Cricetulus griseus: one gene and its partners. The protein of the gene in region 6 purifies or fractionates together with the protein of the main gene of each other region. This does not show direct contact. Links are inferred from orthologs where the notes say so. Each region holds a gene or a part of one and is shown on either strand. Other genes may lie near its edges. The genes, in order: Rbm17, Phf5a, Snrpa1, Snrpd1, Snrnp200, Sf3a1 and Snrpb.

Region 1 (3,700 bases), on a different chromosome or scaffold from region 6:
ATACATGCCTTAAAAGGTTCTTTGCAGGCAAATTATTTAAGATAAAAATCAATGGAGTGATAGAACAGCATTCAGGGAAAATCACAGGAATGGCTTGAGGAGCCTAATGATTTCCTGACCAGGTGCTGCCTTCTGTTTTAGTTGGTGAATTCACAGGAGCTTGTATTAGTCGTAATTGAAGTAATCAGTATTTATGCAAGCATTCTTTTACCATGATAGTCCAGTTCTGTAAACATAAAGGTCATTGGAAACCAGAAAGTCAAAAGAATATTCTTCATATCTACTGAGATGTAAAGATGTAATTTCATGAACTGTTACAGAAAACTATCAAATGCTCGAGAGATGACAATGGTTTCTAATACTTAAAGCATTTTTTAAGGCAAAGGAGAGCTAGTCGGATCACATGGAATTGTCAACAGACCATCTTCAGTTTAAAGATGTGAAATGAAATCCCAGTATCACAAAACTTCATTAGTTCAGCAATGAAGATTGCATTAGCCTTGAGTGGTGGCACATGCCTTTTATGCCACCACTTGGGAAGCAGAGGATCGATGAGTTTGAGGCCAGCCTGGTCTGTGAAGCGAGTGCCAGACACTGTGTCAGAGAGAGAGGGAGAAAAGTGGTATTAAATAGAATTTTTAGATAGAAGGTCTCTATTGGATACTCAGTTCCTCCATTGTTTGATTTTATTTTTAACCCTAAAATTAATGAAAATATGTCTGTCAGAGTTGACACTTTTGAGTAGGGTGATATACCAGTGTTTACTAGTGTTAGTCACTCCATCTTCATCCCAAGTGCTACCTATCTGTAAGCGCACAAATCTGTGGGAGTGTGCTGGTTAGTTTTTGTTGTTTTGGTTTGGTTTTTTCCCTCAACTTGATACAAGCTAGGGTCATCTGGGAAGAGGGATATGCCACTTGAGCTCCCTCCAAAGCCCCACATGTGGATGTTGTTAAACAGGAGTGTTTAAGAGACAGCACCTCTGTTACTCTTCTCTCAATAGTCATGTTTTTACCATCTCTTTTTTATGAATATGTGTAACTTAATGAGCTGTTTATTTAAGACATGGTCTCATGAGTCTTAGACTAACCTCAAACTCCTTATGTAACTTGGATGACATTGTGCTCTAGATCCACCTGCCCCCACCTTCCAAGTGATGGAATATCAAGCATGCACCACCACACCTGGTTTGCGTATGTTCTTTATAAAAGCAGATACCTATGCTGATCCAGCCTACAAACTGCTGCTTTCATAAGACTTCTACTTTCTGCCATTGAGATGAACAGTTTTTAAAGTGGATCTATATACTTAATAACGCCCCAAATGATACTTACTTCATTGCTGTTCTAGAACTGATTTTAGTCATGAATCATTTCACCACAGTCTTTTAGATTGAGAAATTAATTCTAGGCTGAATAGTGGCATTTCCCACTAGAAAGTATAGGCATAGAATCACAAATTCAGAGCCAGCCTTATCTTTGTGATGAGTTCAAGATCATCCTGAGCTACATGAAACCAGTCTTAAAAGAAAAATTAATTCTAGAGGACCGTTTTTAAAATAGTGCATGGGTATAGTTTTGCATATGAGAAAGAAATCTGCCTTTGTAACAGCAGGTGGTCCATGGTGCTGCTGTTTTAACAAAGTGGTGTTCAGAACTTGCTCTTGTTGCATATTATTTAGTCTGTTCCCCTGTCTTTCAGCAATAAACCAAAAAGATGTCCCTATATGATGACCTGGGAGTGGAGACCAGTGACTCAAAAACCGAAGGCTGGTCCAAAAACTTCAAGCTTCTGCAGTCCCAGCTTCAGGTGAAGAAGGCAGCTCTCACTCAAGCCAAGGTAAACACAGGCCCAGAGCAGGAGTGGGAAAACCCACTAAGAGAGTTCCTTGAGAAAAGTGGGGGCAGGAAGGTGAAAAACTGAAGTTACTTTGCTTCTCCTGGCTGTTGGGAACATCAGAACTGTTTCATGGAGTAGGAGTGAAGAAAAGCAGTGCTCTCAAAATTCTAAGCCATGAGGCTGGCTTTATGCTTGAGTATGTCAGAGACAGAACTTGTTTTGTTCCTGAGACTGCTTTCATAGCCACAGTCCTAATATTGTGGTAGTTCTGGTTCTAAGCTGGGTCCCAGGAATGTACATTGTTAGGCAGCATCCTGCTAGTTAATTTTTAATTGTAGGAAGCTTGGAAGCAGCTTAGTAGGATAATCAGATCCACAGTGCACATCCCGGAGGGCTCCGTTGTTTGTGAGCGTGTCTGCCATGTAGAGTTATAGATGGGAATTGCTCTTGTCTGTGTTGTATATGCGTTAGACATGGGCATTATCTTTGAAATAATTCAACTATTTCCTTGTTTCTATTTTTATTTTTTAGACAGGATCTCAGTGTGTGGCCTGAAGCTGGCTGTGTAGACCAGGCTAGCCTCAAATTCACAGAAATCCACCTCTGCCACTCTAGGGCTGGGATTAAAGGTGTGGGCCACCACAAAATTTAAAATATGGAAGGTATACTTGTGAACTGGATGTTTCTTAACTAAAATGCCCAGTGTATTTTAGAAATGAGAATACTTTGTTCAATTTTTGATGTTTCTTAGGTAAAGATTTTGCTCTTGTATGAAATACAAGATACACTATACATTGTATAGTGTATCTTTACCGAGGCTCCTTACAGAGGGAAGTAATAAAGGTTGAAGCTGAACTGGATAGCACAGCCCTAGTAATCCCAGCACTTGGGAGGTTGAGGTGAGAGTATCAGTCTGGTATATAGCATGAGACCCTTCCTCAAAAAGGGTGTGGAGGCTTTAGAAAAACTGCTTTGGAAATAGACACTGAAGGGTTGCAAATAAAATGGTTCCATTGGTGGCTAGAGAAGTGGCTCATCAGTTAAGAGCATTTATTGCAGTTGTAGAGGATGTGAGTTCAGACCCCAGCATCTCACAAACACCTCTAATTCCAGCGCAAGGAATCTGACACACTATTCTGACCTCTGTAGGCATGCATGTGGTAGACATAACACAGGCAAAACACTCAAAAATTAACAGTGTGTGTGTGTATGAGAGAGGCGGGGGAAGAGAATATAAAGTTAGTTTGTAAGTTGCTGCTTAGGAGCAAGAAATTAATATTTTCACATGAAGTCTAGGCTGTTTGTGGTTTTCTGCCTCAGTCTTTAATTTATGGGGTTTTTTTTTTGCTTATTGATATATACACGTATGTATGTATGTATGTATGTATGTATGTATGTATGTATGTATGTATGTGTTTTTCAAGGCAGAGTTTCTCTGTGTAACCCTGGCTGTCCTGGAACTCAGGGATCTACTTCTGCTTCCCAAGTGCTGGGATTAAAGGTGTGAGCCACCACACCCAGCTATATATTTTATTGTCAGCTATTAGCAAATATCTTGAGATTTTAGCAATATCTTGAGCAAATAGATTTTAATAGATCAAGGTGGAATATTACTTTAATATGTTGTTTCTTTTGGGCTCCTCAGTGAGTTTCTCATAGTACTAATCAAACTTGTAAAAATATTTGGTAGAGAAAAATTTTACTTGTATCTAAAAGATGAAGCTATGGTTTCATTTGTATTTCATTTTTGGAAATACCTGTTAAATTTAAAATAAGCAAATAAATGATTATCATAACCCCTGTTATGCAAACTTTGGGGTTTATGTTGTGATTTTGCATTTGTATGACATGTTGTTTGCTT
Region 2 (4,432 bases), on a different chromosome or scaffold from region 6:
ACAGGAAAATGCCTGGGCACCCCATCTACATGATCCTCTGTCTGTAAGGGTGAGAGGCTGGATCACGTCACAGGACTGCTTTGTGTCCCTTGGAAACTAGTGCTGAGTAATTGTGAGCTTGAGCTCAGGTGTCCTCAGAACGTTCCTGTATAATGGCAAGTAGGTGAAGTGATGTCCAAAATAATTCTCAGGGAGCAGAATGAGGGGCAGGGATCCAAAGGTATCAGATCACAGGGCGCATGCAGACAAGTGAGATGGCAATTACTGTTTAGCAAGCATCCTCTGGTTCCAAGCTTAAGTCAGAAACAGACTCTAGACATTTCTGAAAGCTCAAGAAAGTGTTGTCTCTTCAGGGACCCTTTAGCTTGAGAACTGTGTGTCCCTCCTCTTTCCATTACACCCAGTACTTCCCAGTTCCTAAATAACAAATGCCCAGGGTGGGGAGTGTCTCCCAGGAACACTTTATAGGCACAGTACCAAAAAGAGAGCACCATCCTTGTATTACAGATTAGGCACTATTACCAAGACCCGAGAAAAAGGAAAGATGGAGGACATAATCCACAGCTGTGGAAGACAGAATACAATCGAGTTCTGGTTGTCTAAAGAATTGGAAAGAGCATTTAGGGCAGGAGAATGTTCAAACCACCAACTGAAATTATGATTTCATACTTAATCAACAACATTCCCCTTTTCCCAAACAATAGTGGATTCAACAGAGTAAACAATACTTTTCAGCTGCTCTAAAACTCCATTCTGGGCCAAGCACCAATCTGGTTCTCTAAGAAGGACAGGGAAAAACAGTAAGCACATAAAAGTATTAGTGGGCCAAAATACTCACTAGTGTGTGTGTGTGTGTGTGGGACCAACTCCAGGCAAGCTGTCCTCTTAATACCACATGCACCCACACAAATAGATGTAACAAAGAAATTCAACCAAACCAAACACAACCAAACTCTGCAGCACTGAGAACAGTGAGGATATACCCAACAGGAATCATTTGTATGTCCTGTGGCATAAACTGCATGCAGGCAGTAAGAAAAGCCTGGAGCTCATCCATGGAGAAAAAGCTCTCAGTTGGGAACTCTAGCTAATGCCTAAATGTGGCTTCCCCAATCAATATCTGCTGGATGTGGTAAGACCCGATTTGAGATTTGATGATAAAGTCAATCAAAACTGAAAATGCAGCTATCATAGATCACCTTCCGCACCACGTAGAACAACCCCCCTCCCTCCTTAAAGCCCTATCTGGCTTCGGGTACTGGTGGTAGGTAGCATCCACATGTGGAGTGCTGAGGAGGCTGGGTGCTCTCTTCATCATGAGCACACACCAAGAAGGTCTTAGAGAAGCATAACATGATGTAATGTGGACACCAGATTTAGTCAGATAGCCTGGGACAGAGTATAAAAGGAGGATGATAATAACCTCTACCTACATGACTAGCTGAACATTGCAGTCTCCATAGACCAGAAGAGATGGACATGGATGGCAAAATGGTCCAAAGAAAAAGGAAGAAAGGCCAGGAGGGAATGCTCAAGTCTACACTCACATCCTTCTCCTGAATGGTGCATTCTTTACAATAGTAGGCATCGGAGACTCCGGGGCCTCCACAGATCACACACCGGCCCTGGTAAGATCCATAGTTACACTCATCACATATGCGAACCAGGGTGCAGGGTCGCACATAGGAGTCACAAATCACACATTTGCCATCACCTGCAAAGGAAGAGGAATGGAGTTATATTCACTAGTGATTACTTCCTAAAGATCTTTATTCTATGGGTGAAATAACCAGTCTCCCTTTGACTGTGACTTCAGGCCTTTTCTCTATCTTGACAGCATCCACCCTATCTTATATCTACCATCTACCTCAGTTTCCTTCAAAATATAAATGGGAAGAGTTTTGACGTGTTAGCTAGGAGCTTTTAAGTCTATGTAGTTATCATCAACAAATTGCATGCCTTCTTGCACAAACATTGGCCTGGGAAGGTTCACACTACTCTGATAGTTCTTACTGTCCAAAAGTATTTTTCCCCCACAACCTAAGTATGAAATATTAAAGTATGCAAGCTAAAGTGGGAGTCTGGTGGGGAGCCTTTGGTTGTAGTCAGAGATTCAGTGTTCTTTGCAGTCTGGCATATCCACTCAATGCTTCTTTAGGGCTCCTCTGGAATAAATGGCTTGTTGGCTCGTCAAAAAACAAAGAAAGAAGGCAATGTGTGAGAGGGTATGTTCCACTCACATTTTTCACACAGTCTTCCGATAGCTGCAAGAAAAAACACAGTTAAAATCAAAATGGTGATTTAGCAAGGAAGTTGTTCCTCAAAGCTGGGATAGAGGATGGGGCAGGTAGCAATGACTACAGTGAGCAGAATAGCTGTCTTATTATCCTTTTTTTTCCCCTCTCCACGCCCCTCCTCCCAACAGATTCCCGTTTTATAGCCTGGAACTTCTTATGTAGTTCAGGTCGGCCTCGAACCCCCAGCAATCTTCTGCCTTCAGCCTCCCAGGCGCTGGGATTACAGTCGTGAACTACCACGCCCGGCCTAAGCCCCTAAGTTTTGCTTTGCACCAGCGCCCTGTCCGGAATCCTCAAAGCAACCTGGGACGGCTTCTCCAGACCTAGCGCAGACGCTGCCCCCAGTTTCAGGCTCCCAGACGCGCGATCCTGCCTTCTTATCACAAGTCACAAACCTGGGCGCACCCCCAGAATACCCAGGGACCGCAAGGCGCGAAACGTGGAGCCCCCAAGGCCAGGCCCTAAAGAGGAAGCGAACCCCCCACTCTCCCGTTTCTAACACCATCCCACTCCAACGGAAGGGAGCGGCGAGCCAACTCACCAACACCAGCCTGCTTGCGGCAGAAAATCAAATCTGGATGGTGTTTAGCCATCACTCGTCCCCAAGCCGGCGGCCGGAAGCTTAGAGAACTTCCGCTCGACCTTTAACCTACGCCGTTCCTACACCCACTTCTCCATCGTGATTGGCCGTCAAGGTGCCCATCAGCTTTTGCCCTTCGTTGCACCAAATCTCGCTAGTTCTCGCGAGTTTTCTCAGCGTGAACTTGCTGGACCCCTAGCAGGTGCATCAAAGACTTTATAATAAAGTTTTTGTTCCCTCCCGATTTGAACGAATAAACTAAGTGTTTTTGTCTTGGATAAAATTCCTACATATGGCTGGTTGGTGGTAGCACACGCCTTTAGTCCCAGCACTCGGGAGGCGGATCTCTGAGTTCGAGGCCAGCCAGACCTGTCTCGCAAAAAACTTTTGTACACATGGTACTTTTTGTGCTCGGGGCTGAGGCCAGGGCCTCACGCATGCTTCCGCAAAATATGTGGTCTGGGGGTTCCCTTTTGAGTCTCAAGGCGTGAAGGATGACCTTGAACTCCTGGCTCCGCTGCCGTCTCCGTCCCCAAGTGCAAAGACTGACAAGCTGGCAGTTTCTTTCTCGCGCTGTGCCCGTCATGGAAGCCCCGCCCACTGCGCTCTCTGGACTCCGGCTCCGAGGAGGAAGGCCCCACCCTCACCGTGACGCGCCGCTTTGGAGGCCACGCCCCTTCCCAAGCACTTCAAAAGCGCCCTGTGGCACGTCACTTTCACGCGACCTCATCTTTGTCAGTGCACAAAATGGCGCCTTACAGCCTCCTGGTGACCCGGCTGCAGGTGAGCGAGCTCCGATGTGTGGGTTCACGGGGGCGGGGAGCTCTGCCTGCGGCGGTAGGCGAGGCCACGCGAGGCGGGCTCAACCTGGGGCTGACTTTTGCGAACCTGTCCCGGTTGCAGGCCCAGCGTCCTTGTCCGCTCCTGCCTTGTCCTAGGTCAAGGTGTCCCTGGCACAGTCAGTTCCCAGGCCCAGTCCCCGTCCCCGCCCAGCGGGAAGCTTGAGTCTAAGCATCCGCAGTGTGATAAAGGATGAGGGCACCCCTCATTTCCTGAGGGCCGAATTGCCCGCTCCCCCCAGTGTGGTTTTCTGTTCTCAAGGTGATGACAAGGTTACTGGGGGGCGCGGTGGTTGTGGGTTCCTCTAAGCCAGGTGCTTGAAGCCCTCACTTCCCATTAACAGCAGAGATTTGCCAGCCGTTTGTATGTGTGGTTCTCGGGCCTGGAGTCTGCAGAAGCTATACCCAATACTACCTTTTGAGGACACCTGGGGTCATAGATGCAAGAAGGGTAGAGTATTCTGAGCACCAGTATAGTCCATAGTCATGATAACAGTGGTTCCTCTCTGCACCAGATGTCAAGACTGTTCACTAATATAACCTGATTTACATATTTCTGGCAACATAGATGTCAGATGATTTTTTTCCAACTCAATAGATAGTAAAACTGCAAAAAAGTAGATGAAAGTTCTGACTTTCACGGTGTCACGATAGTGCTATAGCTTGAGCAGTGACCCTGCTGACCCTCTGTTCTCCTTGTTCATGGCAACCTAATG
Region 3 (4,359 bases), on a different chromosome or scaffold from region 6:
ACCAAAATCAGGGCTGGGGATGTGGCTCAGTAGAGTACCTGCCTCAGCATGCACAGAAACTCAGAGTCCACTCCCACCACTACATGAGCTCAATCCAATCATCCCAGCACTTGGAGGTGGAGGCAGGGAGGTGAGATGTTCAAAGTCATCCCCTGACTTAGCCATTACAGCTCTTTCAGAGGACCTGAGTTCATTTCCAGCAACCACCTGTAACTCCAATCTCAGAGAATTTAGCATCTCTGAAGTCTGTGGGTATCTTCACCCATGTGCACAAAACCACACAGGTAATTTTAAAAAAAGATTTAAAGAATGCTTTTCTGCTTTTGCAGAGGACTGGAGTTCAGCCTGTAATACACATGTCCACAGGATTACAACAGCTAGTTCCAGGGAATCTCAGGCCATAAGCCTCCCCTGGCACCCACAAACAAGTGGCATATACACTAATTAATAAGCTAAGATAAAAAATAAGCGCACTAATTCGTAGAATTGGGTTCCTGGCCGTCTTTGGGGACAGAGGCCAAGGCTCTGCAGGTGTGTGTGTTCACTCTGTTGGCATTCATCAAATGTCAGGTTTCTGATGTGTGTACGCCCCTGCTCTTCATATGAATTTTGTTGCTGTTGTTGGTTTTTTTCAAGCCGGGTTTTCTCTGCATAGCCCTGGAACTCGCTCTGTAGATCAGAATGACCTGGTCTCATCTCACAGATCTGGCCTCCCAAATGCTGGGATTAAAGGCGTTCCCCGCCACGCCCAGTTTACAATATGAATATCATTTAAGCTTTATTTTATTTTTATGTTTGCGATTGCCGGTGTCCGAGGAGGTTAGAAATGGGCGACGAATCCCTGGGGCTGTAGTTACAAGCAGTTGTGAGGTGCACAACTGGGTACTGAAATGAGACTCCTTTTGCAAAAGTCTTTTGCAAAAGCAGCAAGTGCCCCTAACCTCTATGCCATCTCTCTGGCTAGCCCCTCGACATCAATACTTAAATGTCTAGACGCCGCAAGTCCACCCTGAGGCTTTAAGGTGACCATACTAGCTCGGATGTTGCCCATCTTAAGGCAGTCCAGCCGAATGGCCCAGCCTTGTCTCTGCTGGACCGCAAATCTTAGAAACCTGAATCCCTGAAGCTTTGGCGGAGTGTCCGCCCCCTGTTGGACAATCCCAAATACCCCAGCCTCGAGGTTCACTGAAGTGAGAGTGCCTCTCTCGTGTTCTTATCTTTTGGACACAAATATCTGGAATCTGGGCTCGCCACACTCCAGGAACGCACCAGCCAAGAAGAACCAAGAAGCAAAGACGACGATCGCAACGCCCGGCGGTGCCTTCGATCGATTGCTTTAGCCTGGTGGTCGAGGTGAGCGCCGCTCCGATTGGTTTTGTCTGGCAGCGCGGCGCGGTGCACCCTGGGACACGGCACTGGCGGGAGGCGCAGGCCGGTGGCCGAGGTGAGGGGACTCGGCGGCGGCAGGATGGTGAAGCTGACGGCGGAGCTGATCGAGCAGGCGGCGCAGTACACCAATGCTGTGCGGGACCGCGAGCTGGATCTTCGCGGTGAGTTAGGGGGATCGCGGGCTGTGTCCGGGCTCGGCGCGAGGCCGGGAGGAGCGGGCCCCGCCGCGTGCGCGGAGGCCGGAGCCTGGCCCGGGGGCCTCCCGCCCGGGTTTAGGGTACCTCCTCCGATCGCCGGTCCCTCAGGACCCTTTGGAGCCGTCTGTTACCCGCTCCCGCTAACAGACACGGCTTCTCCGTTCCTTCCCGGGTCCGTATTCGTTAGGCTTTGCCCGGCATGCTCAGCAGCCTGAACTGTTTGAGGGCCAGGAAAATAGAAAATGGTATCTTCCGGACCGCGACCGGCTGGTTTTTAGCAAATGCGTTAATATGACACGTGAGGGTAGATTAGATATAAGTCAAAGTTATCTTAATTATACAATAATTCCATTTTGGGTCTGCTCATTTGTTTTTTGAGACAGGGTCTCCTGTACTCAGAGCTGGCTTCAAACCGCTGTGTAGTTAGGGACGTTCTCGAACTTCCGGCCCTCTTGCCTCCACTTCCCGGCGCTGGGTTTAAACGTGTGCCCCATGTTTATATGGTGCTGCGGATGAACCCAGGATTTTGTTCTTGATAAACAAGCACTCGCCCCACAGAACCAGGTCCCCAGCCCCTGATAATTCACTTTTATAAGAAGGTGTTTTCTAGCTTGATCTGTTTGACCAAGGCTTATAGTCATCACTCCCATGTGAGGGGTGGTGAACACTAACCTGTTGAGTAGAGCTTGGTTTAAAAAAACAAAAACAAAACACAGCATTAGCTGGGCAGCGGTGGCACACGCCCGGCACTCGGAAGGCAGTGGCAGGCGGATCTCTGAGTTCGAGGCCAGCCTAGTCTCCTGTGTCGAATAAAACAAGAAAATGACAATAATAACAAAATATAGCATTGAAAGTGCAGTTATCTACTTTTCAGGAGATGGCTTTGAAAGGGGTTAGGATTATATAACTGTGTCATGAGGCAACCACAGTCTCGGGGACTATACTCTGCCATTTGCTAAAATGCCTTGCTGACCTATAGAAAATCCTAGTGCTTTTGTTAGACATTAGCTTTCTCAGACAAAAGTCCATTTCAGAGGTATCTGAACCCTTTTACTGTCTTGGCACACAGTTTTGGTCTCTGCTGCATCTCTGAAGACCATGCAGTCTTGATAAAGCTTATTTTATTGCGCTCTTTCACAACTGAGTGAAAGTTGTGTACTAAGTTTCTCTTCTTCCTTTGGCACCTAGCTCGATGGTTATGCCCATTAGACAATCAAGGGGATGTTCACAGTGTGGTTTGTGGTTGTATAGACACCATTTTCAGCTCTGAATTGGAGCTGGTGGAGAAGAGAGTGAGTCAGGATAGCATGAGGATATACTGCTGAGTTATGTGAATGGTTTAGAAGGCTGGTCACCAGTGTCCCAGCAAGACTTGAGCATTAACAGTAAGCAGTGTTAACTTGACATAGAGCCTGACACTCTTAAGAACTTTGAACAGTGTAAATACCTTGTAGATGTTCTCATAAACAGTGGACACCAATATTACTAAGTATACGCCTGTGTTCTTGTTCTTGCCTTCAACCTCCTCTTCAAGTTTACTGCATGACCACACGCTTCGAGGCAGTAAGGACCCTGTAACTCATTTGTCACTTATCTTCAGTATTTTTGTACAGAGTGTGACATGGCACCCGTGCCGGTTTAATACTTCTTGAATGAGTACTTTGAGTCTAATTACAATCAGATGCTCCTACTGTTTTCAGGACCTTTCATTTATATTAATATTTGCTGTATGTATTTTTCCCCTCTACAGGATATAAAATCCCTGTCATTGAAAATTTAGGTGCTACCTTAGACCAGTTTGATGCTATTGATTTTTCTGATAATGAGATCAGGAAACTGGATGGTTTTCCTTTATTGAGAAGACTGAAAACATTATTAGTGAACAACAACAGAATTTGGTGAGTGTCTGCTAGTGAGAATACTTTTCTACCTTGAAAAGATGTTACAATGTACCCTGAAGAAAGACATGATTTGTTTTTAGTTTTCATTTTATGTATATTAGTGTTTGGCCTGCAAGTGTGTCTGCACTATCTGTATACCATTGTGGTGCCTTTGGAGGCCAGAAGAGGGTGTGAGTTCCCTGGAGCTGGAATTACAGACAGTTGTGAGCTCTCATGTGGGTACTAGGAATAGAATCTGGGTCCTCCGGAAGAGCAGCCAGTGCTCCAGCCTCTCCATGTCTCTTCTTAAAGGGAGGAATGAATCGAGCACTTTTTCTAAGAGATTGGGAGACTAACGTGGGCATTGGTCTGACCTTACTTGCTATCTTCAGAGATCTTTAGTATTCGTAGTTGATACTAAACTTTGAATTTAAATTTAAAACATGTTGCTCTGTATACATTTCAGATTCTAGAGCAATTACCAACAGCATCATAATAAAAATGATTTATAAAAGTCAGGTGTAGTGGTGCCCACCTTTAATCCTAACAGTTGGAAGGCTGAGGCAGTCCAGCCTTGTCTCCACAGCAAGTTACAACTGATGCTACAGAGTGAGACCCTGTCTCAATAACATCCTTTTTGTTTGTTTGTTTTTCAAGACAGGTTTTTCTCTGTGTAACTTTGGAGCCTGTCTTGGAACTCACTTGGTAGACCAGGCTGGCCTTGAACTCACAGAGATCCTCCTCCCTCTCCTTGCCAAGTGCTGGAATTGAATATGTGCACTACCACCTGGCTGTTTATCAGCTTCATATAAAAATTGAATTAATATAGTTATTAAGGAAGGTTTCTCGTACCTGGTACTGGTGTTTCTGTTAGGGTCAGTGCCTCTTGTGGG
Region 4 (4,386 bases), on a different chromosome or scaffold from region 6:
CCTAACACCACAATTGCATGCAATAACTGGACAGCAGCACCTAGCAGACCCCTCATGTTCTGACTTCCTAGTCTGTAATTCACAATACCACAATTACATGCAGTGAAATAATTCTACAGCATCACCCATGCTTTATTTTAGCCAAATGGCCATGGAAAGATAATCCTACAATAGCATCTAACAACACTTCATATTCAGATTTTCTAGTCTATCTTTCTACAATATCCTTTGTAAACTACTACAGCAAACTGCACAAGTAATATTATCTGTTCCATTCTCACCACTATTCTACTATGAAGGAAAGCAGCAGGCCCTTTCTATAGGTGACACTGGACTACAACAAACACTCAGGGGATGGAGAGGTGGCTCAGAGGTTAAGAGCACTGGTTGCTTTTCCAGAGGTTCTGAGTTCAATTTCCAGCAACCACATGGTGGCTCACAATCATCTATAATGGGATCTGGTGCCTTCTTCTGACCTGCGGTTGGGAGTACACCGTGCACATAATAATAATAATAATAATAATAATAATAATAATAATAATAATAATAATAATAATAATAAAAAACCACCAGACAGGTCCAGCGTTTCAGCAACTTTTAAAGGAACCCACCTTAAAAAATTATGTTGCCGGGGGCTGGAGAGATGGCTCAGCAGTTAAGAGCACTGACTGTTCTTCCAGAGGTTCTGAGTTCAATTCCCAGCAACCACATGGTGGCTCACAACCACCTTGAATGAGATCTGGTGCCTCTGCTGGCATTCGGGCAGAAGACTGTATACATAATAAATAAATAAAAATCTTTAAAAAAAATTATATTGCCAAGTATGGGGGTGAAGATCTTTAATCCAGCACTCAGGAAGCAGAAATTCTTTCAGAAACAAGGGAGTGGGTGAGGAGATAACAGTCTGCTAAAAAAAATTCCCTTAAGACATGTAGGCACCGATCTGTAATCTCAGTTATTCAGTAGGCTGCAGTAGGATGATCCCAAATCTGAAGTCAGCCTGGGATATGGAGTGACTTCTAGACAACCTGGTGACATCCTGTCTCAATTTTTCAGTGAATCCTTCATTTTGTGAATTCTCTTACTTATTATTACCATTGCTGTTGTTGTTTGAGAAGTTTCTCTGTGTAGCCCTGGCTGGGTTCATATCAGTAACAGAGTGAGCACTTGCCTAGGACGCTAGCTGGAAGTCGAGGTAACACCCCAGGTACCACCACCCAAAAGCAAAGCTGTCGTAACAGAATCTTTAAATGGGAAAAACCTAAGTTACTGCAAACACATGATAGTTCACATCAGGCAGCAGGGAAACAGCAAGAGTATACTTTAAATTGTGAGACTTTCTACCTAATGTTACAGTCCAAATACAAAAGAACTGGAGCTATAGTCAAAGGTAGAGCGATTATTGGAAGCTCTCTAGGCGCTATCCCCAGAACAGGTGGAATTTTTTTTTTAACCTTATATGCTTTCTCTTCCAACTCCCCCTGAACAGAGTGTTTGTCATTTCAAACAGACCAGATGTTACCTGTTCTGCCTTCAGCATTAAACAGAAAAGAAAGAAATCTTGTAGCCCGACGGTGATGGGTCATGCCTTTAATCCCAACACTCCGGAGACAGAGGCAGTGTTATGATAAATGTTCGTGGGGGACCTTTGTGGATTCCATGGCAGGCAAGGATGACCCAGTCGAAAGGACATCATGCCAGGCAGTAGGACTTAAGTGAGAAGATTATTAGAAAAAAAGGGGGGTTAGAGACACAGAGACAGAGAGAGGACAGGAAAGACAAGAAAAGTCCTGTCTGCCCCAGGGGAACAGCAGGAAAGAGAGAGAGGGAAAAAAAAAAGCGGGTAAGAGAGCATAAGTGGACAGAGACCTTTCTTTTAAAGGGATGCTTTGCATCTGGGCTGACCAGGGTACTACTGTGTGAGTGCAGGGGCAGGCCAGCATAATGACTGAATCCTTTTCAGGCAGGCCTCTGAGTTCGAGGCCAGCATGGCGAGGTGCAGGACAGCCAGGGCTGTTACACAGAGAAACCTTGTCTCGAAAAACCACAAAGAAAAATCTCGTACCACTACTTTTAACAGGTGACTATAAGCAGTCCTTGACTCAACAAGAAACTAAATATTTCTAACTGGCTTAGGCATTAAACCCTGTTTCGGGCTCTGCCTAATGCCTATTTGGTTTGGAAGTATTCATACCAGCAAACAAAGCTCCACTAACCGACACAATCTGCAATCAGGCGAAATTAACTTAACTTCTGCCCCATCCTGGGACACTGTCGTGAGTCGAAAGCCAACATTAACCAGTTACATACAACCGATCCAAAATAAAGGAGAACTTTATCTAAAACGTCTAGCAGATCGGCGTCGTTGTTTGCAGATAAAACCATGCTGCTTTGGAGTTCTCGTCCGTGCAAGCAGCCCGACTGGCCAGGGAAAGCGGCCTCGGCTCCGTTCAAGCCGCAGGAAACGAGGCGAGCAGAAACCGCTCGGCTCCCCCATTCTTGGAAGACGCGCAGGGCCGGGGCGCGCCGGCTCCTCGCCGGCAGCAACGAGAAGGGCGCGGCGGGCCCGGACGCGGGGGCCGTTAGCAGGCCGCGCGCACGCGGCTTTCCCGCCTCCCTGAGGGCGCAGAGGCCCGGCTTCCTGAGCCCGCCCAAACCCTGTCCCCGCCGCCTTCGGCCCGCCCGGAGAGCCTCCTCACCTCACGAGCTTCATCCTAGCGGCGCAGCCTCCCTCTGGTCCTACTGGACACGGAATTCGAGCTCCAAAGACTCACCGACTAGGCGTATGAATGGCCGGAAGAGCGCACGGAGGCCTGCGGATCCGCGGTGGAAACGCGGAAGCCGCGCTGCCTTCCGGCCACCGGGACAACCACAGCGGCCCCTAGCGACGGGAGGAGTGCTTTGCGCCGTCTGAGCGCGGCGTGGCTGGTGGAAGACATCTGCAGGAGGATTCACCTTAAAACTATTTATAATGGCCTGGCGCTTTCACAGTTGGAAGGAAGAGAAGATCTGAGAGAACCCCTCCAAGACTTCTTTAATCCTTGGGGCCCACATGTTGGAAGCAGAGAACCGGCCCGACAAGTTTCTCCTAGTTGGTTTGACAACTAAGCTGAGCCAATCAGATTTTTGTATATAATAGTTTTCCTTTGGGGACTTGTAATAACCCCAGAGCTACTGAGAACCTTTTTAAAAACAGGAAAGCCATTCTCAGGACAGTTTTAAATAAGACCTTCATTATATAGTAAGTTCTTCGACTTAAAAAGTTATGTGGATATTTCAAATGAAGTTAAATAAAACAATTCAACTCCTTATTTGCAATAACCACATCGTAACTACTCAAAATCTATATGTATCATTGATTACAGTGCAGATAATTTCCACTATCCCAAGAAGATTGGATAATATTAGTTTATTATATTTGATTCTTACATGGAGCATGAATTCTAATTGTTCTTAATAAAGCCTCAGACTCGGCTGACAGGGGGTAAAAACTGAAGGGTCAGAGAAGCAGAACAGCCAGCCACTAGAGTTCTTACCTCTACCAATGTTCAGACCAAAGGGGCCATCCTGTCCTCAGACTGACTGCCTCCTCAGACTCCTGTCTCCTCCGGCTTCTCTCTGCCCAGCCACACCACTCCTGTCTCTACCTCCCTAGTGCTGGGATTAAAGTATTGGGATTAAATGTGTGAGCCACCACCATCTGGCTCTTTTTTCTCTTTTAAACTGGATCAATCTTATGTATCCCGGGGTATCCCAGATCTCACAGAGCTATGCTTGCCTCTGCCTCCTGAGTGCTGGGATTAAAGATGTGTGCCATCACTGCCTGGCATCTGTGGCTAACTAGTGTGGCCAGCTCTGCACTCTGATCTGCAGGCAAGCTTTGTTAGATCACAAACAAAATATCACCACACTTACAATTATTTATTTACTTATACTGAACTCAGGAGAACATAGTGTCTGAAAGCAAAAAAAAAAAAAATCTGTTTATTGCACTCTCCAACATCCGGTATCTCCAGTCTTATGCTTTAATATGATGTGCTCCTCCTCCCCCTCCCCCCTCTTCCTCCTCCTCCTCCTCTTCTTCTTCTTCCTCTTCTTCTTCTTCTCCTTCACAAAATAGTCCAGTCCCGATGTGTGGGAACTGGTCCCAAGGCCTATGAAACCAAAGAGGGAGGCAGGCAAGCCCAGAATTGCAGTGTGCAGTTTATGGGTGACTTACAACAGAAGCATGGGCCTGGGTATCAAGAAAACCACCTAGGAACTTGAGATTTGGGTTAGAAGACAGGTGGGTTATGAAATAGGGCAAAAATTAGTTCAGAGCTAGGCATGGTGGTGCAAGTTTGAGGCTATCATGTACCATATGAGTAGACTCTATCTCTAACCTTC
Region 5 (4,470 bases), on a different chromosome or scaffold from region 6:
TCTGCAGCATCTCAGGCTTTGATCACATTCATCAACAAGATACAATGGCAATGTGCCAGTAATCCTGGCACTTGGAGAAACAACAGGACCATAAGTTCTAGGTTATTCTTGAATACACAGTGAGTTTGAGGTCAGCTTGAGCTACATGAGACCTTGTCTCACACAAACAAATAAAATAAAATTTAAAAAATAAGCTTTGATCCCAGCACTCAGGAGGCAGAGACAAGAGGATCTCTGAGTTTGAGGTCAGCCTGGTTTACAGAGTGAGTTACAGAACAGCCAAGGCTACACAGAGAAATCCTGTTTTGAAAAACCAAAAGATAAAAATTAAAGACTATAGGGAGCTGCTGAGGATTTAACACAGTGGTACCACATGCCCTTAAGCGTAGCACTCGGAAGACAGAGGCAGGTGGCAGAGGCAGGCAGATCTTTGTGAGTTAGAGACCAATCTGGTCTACAAGAGCTAGTTCCAGGACAGCCTCCAAAGCTACACAGAGAACCCCTGTCTTGAAAAACTTAAAAAAAAACAAAAAAAAAAAAAACAAAAACAAAAACAAAAACAAAAACAAAGCATGAGAGATCCTGGAGTCAGTCCCCAGAAGTGGGGGGGGGGGGATTAGGTAGATGCTTTTCAGAAGCAAAACAAACTTATACTTTCCACCAAGGCCAACAACTTAGGTTTGATCTCTGAGTCCCACACAGATGAAAGTTGTCCTGATTTCCACAAACAGAATAAATATTTGTAACTAATAATTTAACCAAAATTCTTGTGCATCACCCTTTCTCTTTCCAAACACAAGGCCTCATCCTCTGGTTCCAGCCTCACCTGGTCTCCAAGAGCAGCCTGGATAAAGCTGAGCAGCACCTCATAGGTCTCTCGCGTCTCCTTAGTTTTGGGCTTATAGATGATGCCCACCATTTCATCAATGCCCTCTGACAGCAGCGTATAACCTTTCATCTTGTTGATGTCATGCCGGTCCTCATCACGCTTTCTTCTCCTAATGAACACAGGGTGTGATGCTCAATGGGAGAACTTTGCGCCCCCAAGTCAAGTTTACCTTTTCTTTTCTTTTCTTTTCTTTTCTTTTCTTTTCTTTTTATAATTGCAATTAGACCAACTTTAAATTAGAAACCAGCTTCATTTACATGTCAATCCCAGTTCCCTCTCCCTCTCCTCCTCCCCTGCCCCCCACCCCCGAAGTTTACCTTTTCTATACATCTAATATGTGCAAGCAGGAACATGAATCAAAATAAGTAATTCCCACTTGACTTTAAGCATTTGAAGAAGTATTTATTTCTTTATCCTCATGAGGAGATAATATAATGGTATTTCAACTTTAAAAAACAAACAAACAAACAAAACCTTTTATTAGCCAGAGAGGCTAGGCTCCAGGGGAATCTACTTCTATGACTCCCAATAAACAGCTAGAAAAGAAGCCAGATTCTGAAAAGTGAAGGACCAAGGAATGTTTCTTCTCAAATTTAACAATTCTCTCAAGTCTCAACAACTCTCCCCAATTATAACCACTCAAACTAAACAGGGCCTGGGGACTGTTAAGACTTCACAGAAAGAAAAAGGAGAAAGAAAGCACAGTAGGAGAACATGCAACTTTTGAAATGGATCTATCAAGATGAAAAAACGGGAGAGACAACAAAACAAAAGCATCAGGAAGTGGACAACAACCGGAGGGAGTTAGGGTAAGAAGCTTTTAACAGTGGTAGTGGGGCTGAACTGCTGAGACAAGAGATTAACAAGGGTCTGGAAAATAGTTGGTGACGGGGCTGGGGAGAAGGTTCAAGTAGTTAGAAGCAATACTGCTTCTGCAGAGGATCAGAGTTCAGTTCCCAGCCCTCCAAACTGGGTAGCTCACAACTGCCTGAAACTCCAGCTCCTATGTTCCAAACTGTCTTCTGGCCTTCACAGGCATTTGGATGCATGTGCACATACTCACAAAAAAACACACATGCACATGATTAAAAATGAAACAGATTTTTAAGAAAAAAATAGCTTGAAGAAAATTAGCATCTACCTATGAATCAGAAACAAAAAGTACTAATAGATTTTTGTTCCATTTCATTGCACCCAAGTCCAAAGAAACTTTAAACCTTGAAGAGGTTTTCATTCTCTTGTGCAAACACCGCTGATCTTCCACAGGTACTTCATCAAAACTACTGCTCAAATGTTCAAGATGCGCTTTAGACTACAAGGAAAATATAACACCCCGTTGGTACCTACTTGGCCCGTCTTTCCTCCTGCATCTGTGGTTTGGTGCGTTGAGCCTTATCTCCCATCCGAGTTCCCTCCAACTTCCCAACCAGGGACAGAACCTCTCCTGTCGGTTCATCCCGGCGGGTCCGGTCAATAAGTGAGCGGTCAGCTTGGAGCACAAGATTTGAGTTCTGAAAAGATCATACTTAATCAAAACTTTAATATATAAATAGCTTCGGTTCCTGTTATCACAGTGACACCTGAAGATGGAAAAATACTGGGAAAAAGGAATAATCCCCTTAAGAAGAAACAGTATAATAAAACGCCAAGCACCGGACTGTCTGGTAAAGTGAACGATCAACGTTCCTAACAGTAGTCACAATAACCCACATTAGGTGAAGTGTTGAGCAGATTTGGGGATAACGAGTAGGAAGGGGCGGTTTGAGGAGACTGGGAAAAAACCTCCCGAGTCCTCACGCGCCCTAAACCCCACTAGAGTTATTCCGTCGTGTTTTAATCCAGCCTTCACCCAGATCAGATATTCCGTCCGTGTTTGTGGCTACCCACGGCCTCCCTCGCCCGCAGCCCTCCGCCGAGACTTCACGCACCGCCTTGTACTCGTACTGCAGACTGCGGGCAGTCACATCCGCCATGGCTGCCGATGCTCCGGGAACTCAGGGTTCCACTCTCCACACGCTGCGAACCGCCTCAACAAACCGCGCCGGCCCAGCAGGAACGACGCAGGACAAACGTGCGGGACAGAGAAAAGCAACGGACTCCCTTCCGCTTCCGGGACGTACGCTAAAAGTGATACTTTCCGGCGACTACGCACCGCCACTAGGTGGCGGTTGCAGAAGGTAATACATCCGGGTCAGGGATTCCGTGGACCTAGGAAACACGCTCCTGCGCAATATGGTTCCAAGGACCTATACGTACGCAGAGTCACGAAGCCACTTTTAGTGTGGTGTTAAAAGTCCCTTTCTGTAATACACTTTTGCTTTCTCAGTCCAGCGGTCCCGTCAGGCAGGCAGGCAGGCATGCTTGCAGGCAAACGGAAGCTTAGGAGCTCCGTTTATTAAGGATGAGAAAGTTGAAGGAGCAAGTTAACATGCTTCTAATAACTGACTGGATTTCTCTTCTGTATTGAGAAATTGGGGAAATGTTTGCTGCCCCCAACGCTTTTCCTCAAGAGTCAATCGCTGTGGCAGCTGACTGAAGGTGAAGGAAGAAATATTTGCACCCAATGATCTGTCACAGTCCATGTCAGGATTATAGATACGGATTATTTGTTCTCAATGTGGCACAAACGCTACATTTACTAAAGAAATATATGAAAAGTCTATTCAGATATACTATTCAGATGTATTAAGCAGTAATGATACATTTTATGAAATGGCGGTATCTAATCTTTTAATAATTCTCTACATTGAAAACAAAACAGCTATTTCTACTTTTCCCTTTAGGTTTAATAAGCACAACTGACCCTTAGGCCTGTGTCTTAATCCACTGAGCCATCTTGCTGGCAATTTTTATTGTTTAATCTGTTTATCATTACTTTCGTTTTATTCTATGTATATGGGTGTTTTGGCTACGTGTATATCTGTGTCTGAATGTATGTTTGTGTGTCATGTATGCGCAGAGCCCAAGAAGGCCAGGAGGAGGTATTAAATCCCCTGGGACTGGAGCTACAGATAGGTTAGGAGTTGCCTTGTGGGTGGTGGGGTTGAAACCTAGGTCCTCTGAAAAGAGCAGCCAAGTGTTCATAACCATTAAGCCATCACTCCAGCCCTTCTTTGGCTTTTGAGAAAAGATCTTTTGGAGTCCAGGTAGGCCACAAACTTGCTCTGAAGAGACTTCTCTGCATGCTATTATTATTGTTGTTATTATTATTATATTTATTATTTATGTTTATAATGCAAATAATATATAGAATATTTATATATTATATCTTAACATATTACTAACAAAATATTTATATTATATTTATTATTATTTTATTCTATATTATTATTTTTTATTGTTGTTATTTGTTTTTGAGGCCAAGCTGGCCTCCAATTTGCCTCTGCCTCCCAACTACTGGGATAAAAGGTGTGTGCTACCACAGCCTGGCATCTCCAACCCTATTTTGTAGACAGCTTTTTCTTTGGGCCACCAGCTCACAACAGAGACTTATTAATTATGAAAGCTCAGCCTATAGCTTAGGCTTGTCCCACTAGCTCTTATAACTTAAATTAACCCATTTATATTCATCTATGTGTTGC
Region 6 (3,700 bases):
CAAGAATTTGCCTATCTTTATCCCCAACACTATACTTTTATGTGGATGCTGGAGATCCAAGCTCAAGTCCCAATGCTGCATAGCAAGCATTCTACCCACTGAGCCATTACAAGTTCAGACTTTAGAATACCACGTTAAAAAACCCATCTAGAAACATGGTGGAGTTTTTACACTACTAAAGATAGAACTTGTACCCTTGTACATAAAGATACACACTCACTCCATCACTAAGCTATATAATCAATCCTTGTAGACAAGGTCTTGGCCTTAGTAGATCTGAAACTCACAGGCTGGCCTTGAACTCACAGAGATCCACCTCACACATTATGGGACTTGAAGGTAAGAGCCACAGCTGGCTCTAATCCATTTTGTTTTCCTTTTCTTAAAAAAAAAAAAAAAAAAAAAAAAGTGGTGTGTGTTTACTCAGATTCTCTGTGATTTACTCTGACCTGTGCTAGGAATAATCAAATACAGGTCTTCTTTAGGAGCAGAAGGTGGTCTCAACTTCTGAGCACTTTTCCAGATCCTATTTCTTTCTTTCTTTCTTTCTTTTTTTTTTAAATAGAGCTTACCTTGTAGCCAGACTAGTCTCCAACTTTCAACAGTTCTCTCTAGTACTGGGATTACAGGTGTGCATCACTATACCATTGATGGGGTTTTCTTTTTAAGAGAACTCCAGTTGTGCTTTTTTTTTTTTTTTTGTCTGTGGCAGCAGAGGATGACACAATTATTGGAAAGTTACGTGAGAAATTGAGATGTTTCTAAGTGCATACACCTGTGCACACATGTCCATGCGCACAGGCCAGGGGCTGATGTGAGGTGTCTATCATTTCCCATCTTATTTACATTTATCTACATATTTATTTTAGATAGTGTCTGGCTGGCCTGAAATTGCTACCAGGATGGCCTGAAACTCCACCGATTGACATGTCCCTGTCTTCAGAATACATCAACACACTGGCTCCACTTTAGTTTTTGAGGGAAGGAACAAGGTTTCTCATCAAATCTGAAGCTAATAGATTTGCTAGACTACCTAGCCAGGTTCCAGGAATCTGCTAGTCTCCATTCCCCAGTACTGAGGTTTCCAGATGTAGGCATTGCTAAATCTTGCTTTTACATAAATGCCAGGAATCCAAACCCAAGTTCTTATACTTTTGTGACAGGCACTTTACTGAACTGAGCTATCTCCCTAGTCCCCAGCAGTTTTTCTTTAGTGCTCTCTTAAGCAACTAATGTTTCACATGGAATTTTCTTCTAAAGAAAATTCTAAGAGGGAAAGACAATGTTCAAACTCCTCTTACACCTTCAATGACCAATCAGAAACCTGGAAGCAATCTAAAGAAAACATAGCCTGGACACCCTGCATCCTCTCCATAGAAAACATGCAGCATGAGGGAAATCATGGAGTAATATAAGGAAGTTTACAATTTAGCATACAAGGAAAACCAAGACATGATAGCACTTGTGCTAGTAGTACAGGAATTGTCCCAACAGTTAAGACTGTACTTATTGCTTATGCAACATCCTTTCCCTAATTACTAAAATCACAGAAGAAAGGGGAAAGGCATTAAGTTTGCTATGAAACATTAGCCAAATAAACACAACACCCAATGCCCTAATCTTAGGTAGCTTTTAAGTGAAAATCCAAGTTAATTAAAGCCCTTAAAGTGACATGAACTCTCATGGAGTGGACACTGTGAAAGATGTCAATCAGAATCTCTTTTGATATTTCACTAGATTAGGAAATTGAGAAAGAAACATCTATTAAATAATACAAAGTGGTAGAGATGTTACCTCAGGGGAGTGACTGACTGTAAGTGTGGGCCTTATACGGCACATGCCCCTGGACACTGTTCAGGGCCAAGTAGTACTGACTATCATGTAAGAAGCAGTCTAGTTCAAGAAAAGCCAGAAATCCAGACAGATTGTGAAATCCCCTCATTTTAAAGTGTGGAAATAGGAATTTTTTAAAAAAAGAGTCTAAGGACAAACAAAACATCTGTAGACTGGATATATCTGTGGATTGCCAAAAGAATACTTTATAAATGACCTAAGCCAGGGGATGTGTTGACCTTTGGAGTCAAGTGGTCCTAAAGATTACATCTAAGGATGTAGAATGAGGACACTGGGAGGAATCCTGACCAATTTTCACTTAGCCCAGGAAGATAACTAAATGTTTACAACATAACTGAGCTTCACTCAGTCCTGTCAGCTATCTATCTCGCTTGACTCATCTATAAATGATCATCTGAGGCTTTGTGGAAAAGTAGTCCTTATACAATGAGAATGATCAACTCTGTTTTCTATTTCTTCTGGCCAGCAGCTCAAACACAGCATACTCACATCACCAGTTAAAAGAAGCTACCAGGAACTTCCTCAGGTTTGTTCTGGAAGCAGAAACTCCTAGTGACTATACAGCTGGGTATGGCTTTCACTGTGGTTACTGTTGTGGTATGCCAAAGACACCAGTCCTGTCTATTGCCTATCCCACTGCCCTACTTTGGTTTTGGAAGAACAAGCCTAAGCTAGAGCCTCTATAAAACCCCATGCTGGGGGCTGGAGAGATGGCTCAGAGGTTAAAAGCACTGACTGCTCTTCCAGAGGTCCTGAGTTCAATTCCCAGCAACCACATGGTGGCTCACAACCATCCGTTATGAGATCTGGTGTGCAGATATACTTGGAAGCAAAATGTTGTATACATAATAAATAAATAAAATCTTAAAAAAAAAAAAAAAAAACCCATGCTGTCTTTATGGTGATTCAAAAGCCTTTTACACTACAATTTTCCCCAACCCACTGTACAGAAGCAGCTGTTACCTGGCCACAAAACTGGCAGTCTTATCAACGATATTCCTGACCTCTGGAGGAGGGTAAATAATCCCTACCACCGGCTTGGAAGGGGTGGATTCTTCTTTCGATGATGCTTCTTCTTCAACTGGCTGTGAAAACAGAAAAAGGAAATAAGATCTTCAAGTTCCTGGTTTGGGTTCGGCTGTCATAAACTCTATACCAGCCCTCAGCATTTCTCCATGATACAACTGGCACGACTCTGTCTTGCAGACTTCTTATACGTACTTATGCAGCCATTCCAAAGAATTAGGGAAAACAATGGCTTCCTTGGTTCTCCTTTAGACAGACATCTGGTGTGATCAGATACACATTTTTTGTTTACTTGCCAAAGAGTTAGGGCTCAAACTCAGAGCCTTACACATGCTAAGCAAGGCACTGAACAATATCCTTAGCCTCCAAATCTGCATTCTTACCCAATGTCCATGTGATTTAGACTCAAGGATGTTGACCACAATCTAAGAAACCAGAATCCAAAAGGCTATGTCTTTAGCCCTGAACCTAGTACTGTGTCTGGAATGAACACTTAAGGATTGCCTGTTAACAAGCAGGAAAGCCGCTGGGTGGCAGTGGCGCATGCCTTTAATCCCAGCACTTGGGAGACAGGCAGGTAAATCAAGACCAGCCTGGTCTACAAAGGCTAGTTCCAGGACAGGGTCCAAAGCTACATAGAGAAACCCTGTCTGGAAAAACCAAACAAGCAAGCAAACAAACAAAAAAAGAAGAAGCAGGAAAGCCAGAGAGACCAGACCAGTGGCTAATGTGTTTACCCTGCATGAGGTCCTAGGTTCTATACTCAGCACAAATAGAAATAAAGGCAGAGAAAAGAAAAGAAGAAAAAGTCTGGCTGATA
Region 7 (2,894 bases), on a different chromosome or scaffold from region 6:
ATCTCACCATCTAAACAAAGTGAGTACAAGAAATCATGGCAATCCCATTTAAAAGTCAGGTTACAGTATGCACATGTGTGTGACCCTGAGAAAAAATTCTAAGAGTACCCCACCTTTAGTGTTTGCTTCATACAGATCTGCCTACCCAAGTGATGCAACACTTAGCATATGAACGTTTCTTTCCAAAACTGACCTTTAAATTTAATGGATAAAAAGCCTTATAGTCCAAACAACAATAAAATATTATAGGGAAGCAGCTAAGAGTATGGTTAGTTTTTCAAAGTAATCCCTTAACTATTAGGCACTCATCAAAGACTTTTCTAAAGACAAATGGGTGTATCTACTGCATGTATGAACAGTCTCTTAAGAGTTTATTATAAACCAGCTTCATAGGCCACGGGGGGGGGGGGGGGGGACGGGGGGACGGGACACGACTATGTACAGCCTTTTGGGAAACAGCAAGGAGCTGAGGAGAACCAAGATGAGTCTAGGGCCTTGGAGGGCACATTCCCCAGGGAGGGAGCCCTGAAAGGAAAACCAGACGATCCAGGGAGACTCCATGAACAACAAACAGGTCTGTATTAACTCGGCCCAAGGGAATGGGACCCACACCTCAGTGGAGCTACTGCCATAATGCTGTTCGAGGATCAAAGCAGACCTGAAGCAAGAGAAAGTTTAGTCAGAACCTGATCTGTAACACAAACTCCCACCACCACCCCTTCCCACAGTCTGCAGATAATTATCAAGTGACTACAGGGATGGATTGACTGGGCTATGTCCATAAAAAACACAAATGCAAAACCAAAGAGAAAGAAAATGGTCATGAAATCTGAACATTGTTTATCTTAAGACCTACTATGACTTCATGGAAAGAACACAGGGCTGGTAGTCAGGATATTCTCTGAGCTTTCTGTTTAACAGACTCACTGTGTAGACCTGCTGTCCTCAAACTCAGAGATCCACCTGCCTTTGGAATGCTAGGATTAAAGGCATGAGCCAGTATATACCCAGCAAGACTCTCTTAATTAGTCAAGGGCATCAGATAGTCTCTAGTGTGATCTCAGGGACTCTCATCTTACATCCAGGGCTGCTGGACTAGACACTGAACATACCTCTGTTCCACTAGGGAGGCAAGGCCAACCTGTTAATGCTTACTCCCTCCTCTCTACTTTCTGGACACAGCTATCCTCCAAGAGCTCAATTCCCTAAATTTGAGGCCCAAAAACAGATCTGGTCTAAAGCCAAAGTCACTACTGTAGGCACTTACCTCGCATCCCTGGAGGAGGAGGTCGCATTCCAGGAGGGGGCATTCCCATTGGAGTTCCTCGGCCAGGAGGGATCCCCATTGGAGGACCCATAGGAGGCCTCATGCCAGGAGGTGGGCCCATCATACCTGAAGGAAAAAAGTCCAAGAGACCTCTTAAAAGCTTGGAGGAAACATACAAAGTTGTATACCAAGTCAGACAGCCCAGTCTATCCTCTCAGCCTCTACAAGCAAAGGGGGCTCCTAATGGCTCTTATCCAGCTAGTTCCCAACTCAGTCAGCCAGGCTGGATCTCAGAGTAATCCTGCTTAATTACACAAACTCATCATCAGTTTCAGTTAAGGATCTATTTCATCATGAATCCAGCTAAGGCATTTTGTGACTAACTAGTACTGGTCTCCTCTGAAGATATTTACCTGGAGGAGGCGCCCCTCGGCCCATAGGTGGAGGAGGACCCCCACGACCAGGTGGGTACTGAGTTGGGGCTCCTGCAATACTGGCTGTGGCTGCAGCTGCAGCAGCTGCAACAGTGCCTCTTCCTTGTGGAGTCATCACCTAAATAAATAACAAAGAAGAATTAAAACACTAGTCAACACATCCATCTTCCCACTCTTCTCCCCAGTTGCCTGAGTCTGAAATCTCCTAACCCTACAACTCACACCATCAGACTCCCCATGTACAAGGATACTATCAGGAAGCCTGAATGCCCAATTTCCAGCCTCTTAGCCTGACATTATTATTAAGGGCTCCCAATCCAACCTGGGAAAAGCACTTGCAGTTAAGACTGGTAACATAGAAAAAGAAAAGTACACTTACTCTCACAAGAACATTTTGCTAAATTCAGTTGGCTGGAATACCTTTTGTATAGCTCTTCAGACAAACCCTGATAGCCTGACAATCACAACTCATTAGGAGACTGATTGGTCAATCTGGACGCTTCGTCAAGCTGCAGATTCTCCCCTATCCTTTTGGCTACCAGAAACTAGTAGTATTCCTCCAGTGCCTCACCTGCTGTGATGGGCCTCCAACCCCTCGGACTGGCCCAGCAAGTCCTGCAGGAGCCTGGGGCATGGGGACACCAGCTGGGATTCCTCTGCCAGCAGCCCTGCCAATACCTGGCCCCCCAGCAGCTCCAGCAAGTGGCACTCGGGCAATACCAGTCTGTAAAAGTTAAAAAAAAAAAAAAAGTTGTAGAATACTATTTTAACTAGGCAAAGATGTTTTACATTTGTTTATGCTGAATTTGTTTAACAATGTAAGGATGTCTGATGTCTGACTGGTCTAAGAGCTGAACAGCCAATAGCTAGGCAAAGAAAGGATAAGCTGGGCTGGCAGGCAGAAAAAATAAATAGGAGGAGAAATATAAGCTCAAGAAAGAACAGGAGGAGAAAGAGGGGGTCACACCTGGGACCAGAAGCCAGACAGCTAGAGATAGCAGAAAGAGAAGGTAAAAAGCCCCAACACAAAACATTAAGAGATTGAGTTAAAAGAGCTAGCCAGAAACAAGCAAAGCTAAAGACTGGGAATTCAAAACTAGTAAGAGCTGGTTGGTGCCCCCTCACCTCCCTCATAACAGGGCCTGGTACAAAAGATTCTGAAATGCTCAGTGACCTAAAGAATTCTAAGTACA

What was found.
Region 1: the proteins of Sf3a1 (region 6) and Rbm17 purify together in Homo sapiens (affinity purification with mass spectrometry; 4 studies listed by BioGRID and IntAct, counting the BioPlex papers as one, with this or other methods). This does not show direct contact. The link is inferred for Cricetulus griseus from reciprocal best matches to the Homo sapiens genes SF3A1 and RBM17.
Region 2: the proteins of Sf3a1 (region 6) and Phf5a purify together in Homo sapiens (affinity purification with mass spectrometry; 3 studies listed by BioGRID and IntAct, with this or other methods). This does not show direct contact. The link is inferred for Cricetulus griseus from reciprocal best matches to the Homo sapiens genes SF3A1 and PHF5A.
Region 3: the proteins of Sf3a1 (region 6) and Snrpa1 purify together in Homo sapiens (affinity purification with mass spectrometry; 6 studies listed by BioGRID and IntAct, counting the BioPlex papers as one, with this or other methods). This does not show direct contact. The link is inferred for Cricetulus griseus from reciprocal best matches to the Homo sapiens genes SF3A1 and SNRPA1.
Region 4: the proteins of Sf3a1 (region 6) and Snrpd1 fractionate together in Homo sapiens (co-fractionation; 4 studies listed by BioGRID and IntAct, with this or other methods). This does not show direct contact. The link is inferred for Cricetulus griseus from reciprocal best matches to the Homo sapiens genes SF3A1 and SNRPD1.
Region 5: the proteins of Sf3a1 (region 6) and Snrnp200 fractionate together in Homo sapiens (co-fractionation; 3 studies listed by BioGRID and IntAct, with this or other methods). This does not show direct contact. The link is inferred for Cricetulus griseus from reciprocal best matches to the Homo sapiens genes SF3A1 and SNRNP200.
Region 7: the proteins of Sf3a1 (region 6) and Snrpb purify together in Homo sapiens (affinity purification with mass spectrometry; 3 studies listed by BioGRID and IntAct, with this or other methods). This does not show direct contact. The link is inferred for Cricetulus griseus from reciprocal best matches to the Homo sapiens genes SF3A1 and SNRPB.

The regions. Positions count from the first base shown.
Region 1 is NC_048596.1:228,372,139-228,375,838, reverse strand, and holds part of Rbm17 (splicing factor 45), read left to right. Parts: intron 1-1,701; 5' UTR 1,702-1,716; coding exon 1,717-1,839; intron 1,840-3,700. UniProt on the Homo sapiens protein: Splice factor that binds to the single-stranded 3'AG at the exon/intron border and promotes its utilization in the second catalytic step. Involved in the regulation of alternative splicing and the utilization of cryptic splice sites.
Region 2 is NC_048595.1:379,006,238-379,010,669, forward strand, and holds the start of Phf5a (PHD finger-like domain-containing protein 5A), read right to left. Parts: upstream 2,981-4,432; 5' UTR 2,891-2,980; coding exon 2,839-2,890; intron 2,265-2,838; coding exon 2,241-2,264; intron 1,715-2,240; coding exon 1,548-1,714; intron 1-1,547. Other genes in the region: Aco2 (aconitate hydratase, mitochondrial), read left to right, coding at 3,625-3,660.
Region 3 is NC_048596.1:131,213,704-131,218,062, reverse strand, and holds the start of Snrpa1 (U2 small nuclear ribonucleoprotein A'), read left to right. Parts: upstream 1-1,391; 5' UTR 1,392-1,468; coding exon 1,469-1,550; intron 1,551-3,336; coding exon 3,337-3,484; intron 3,485-4,359. UniProt on the Homo sapiens protein: Involved in pre-mRNA splicing as component of the spliceosome. Associated with sn-RNP U2, where it contributes to the binding of stem loop IV of U2 snRNA.
Region 4 is NC_048595.1:225,869,038-225,873,423, forward strand, and holds the start of Snrpd1 (small nuclear ribonucleoprotein Sm D1), read right to left. Parts: upstream 2,857-4,386; 5' UTR 2,714-2,856; coding exon 2,700-2,713; intron 1-2,699. UniProt on the Homo sapiens protein: Plays a role in pre-mRNA splicing as a core component of the spliceosomal U1, U2, U4 and U5 small nuclear ribonucleoproteins (snRNPs), the building blocks of the spliceosome.
Region 5 is NC_048599.1:51,367,641-51,372,110, forward strand, and holds the start of Snrnp200 (U5 small nuclear ribonucleoprotein 200 kDa helicase), read right to left. Parts: upstream 2,863-4,470; coding exon 2,818-2,862; intron 2,401-2,817; coding exon 2,237-2,400; intron 999-2,236; coding exon 827-998; intron 1-826. UniProt on the Homo sapiens protein: Catalyzes the ATP-dependent unwinding of U4/U6 RNA duplices, an essential step in the assembly of a catalytically active spliceosome. Plays a role in pre-mRNA splicing as a core component of precatalytic, catalytic and postcatalytic spliceosomal complexes.
Region 6 is NW_023276807.1:100,726,797-100,730,496, forward strand, and holds part of Sf3a1 (splicing factor 3A subunit 1), read right to left. Parts: intron 2,940-3,700; coding exon 2,818-2,939; intron 1-2,817. UniProt on the Homo sapiens protein: Component of the 17S U2 SnRNP complex of the spliceosome, a large ribonucleoprotein complex that removes introns from transcribed pre-mRNAs.
Region 7 is NC_048599.1:48,446,357-48,449,250, reverse strand, and holds the end of Snrpb (small nuclear ribonucleoprotein-associated proteins B and B'), read right to left. Parts: intron 2,426-2,894; coding exon 2,273-2,425; intron 1,820-2,272; coding exon 1,681-1,819; intron 1,394-1,680; coding exon 1,268-1,393; intron 659-1,267; coding exon 648-658; 3' UTR 554-647; downstream 1-553. UniProt on the Homo sapiens protein: Plays a role in pre-mRNA splicing as a core component of the spliceosomal U1, U2, U4 and U5 small nuclear ribonucleoproteins (snRNPs), the building blocks of the spliceosome.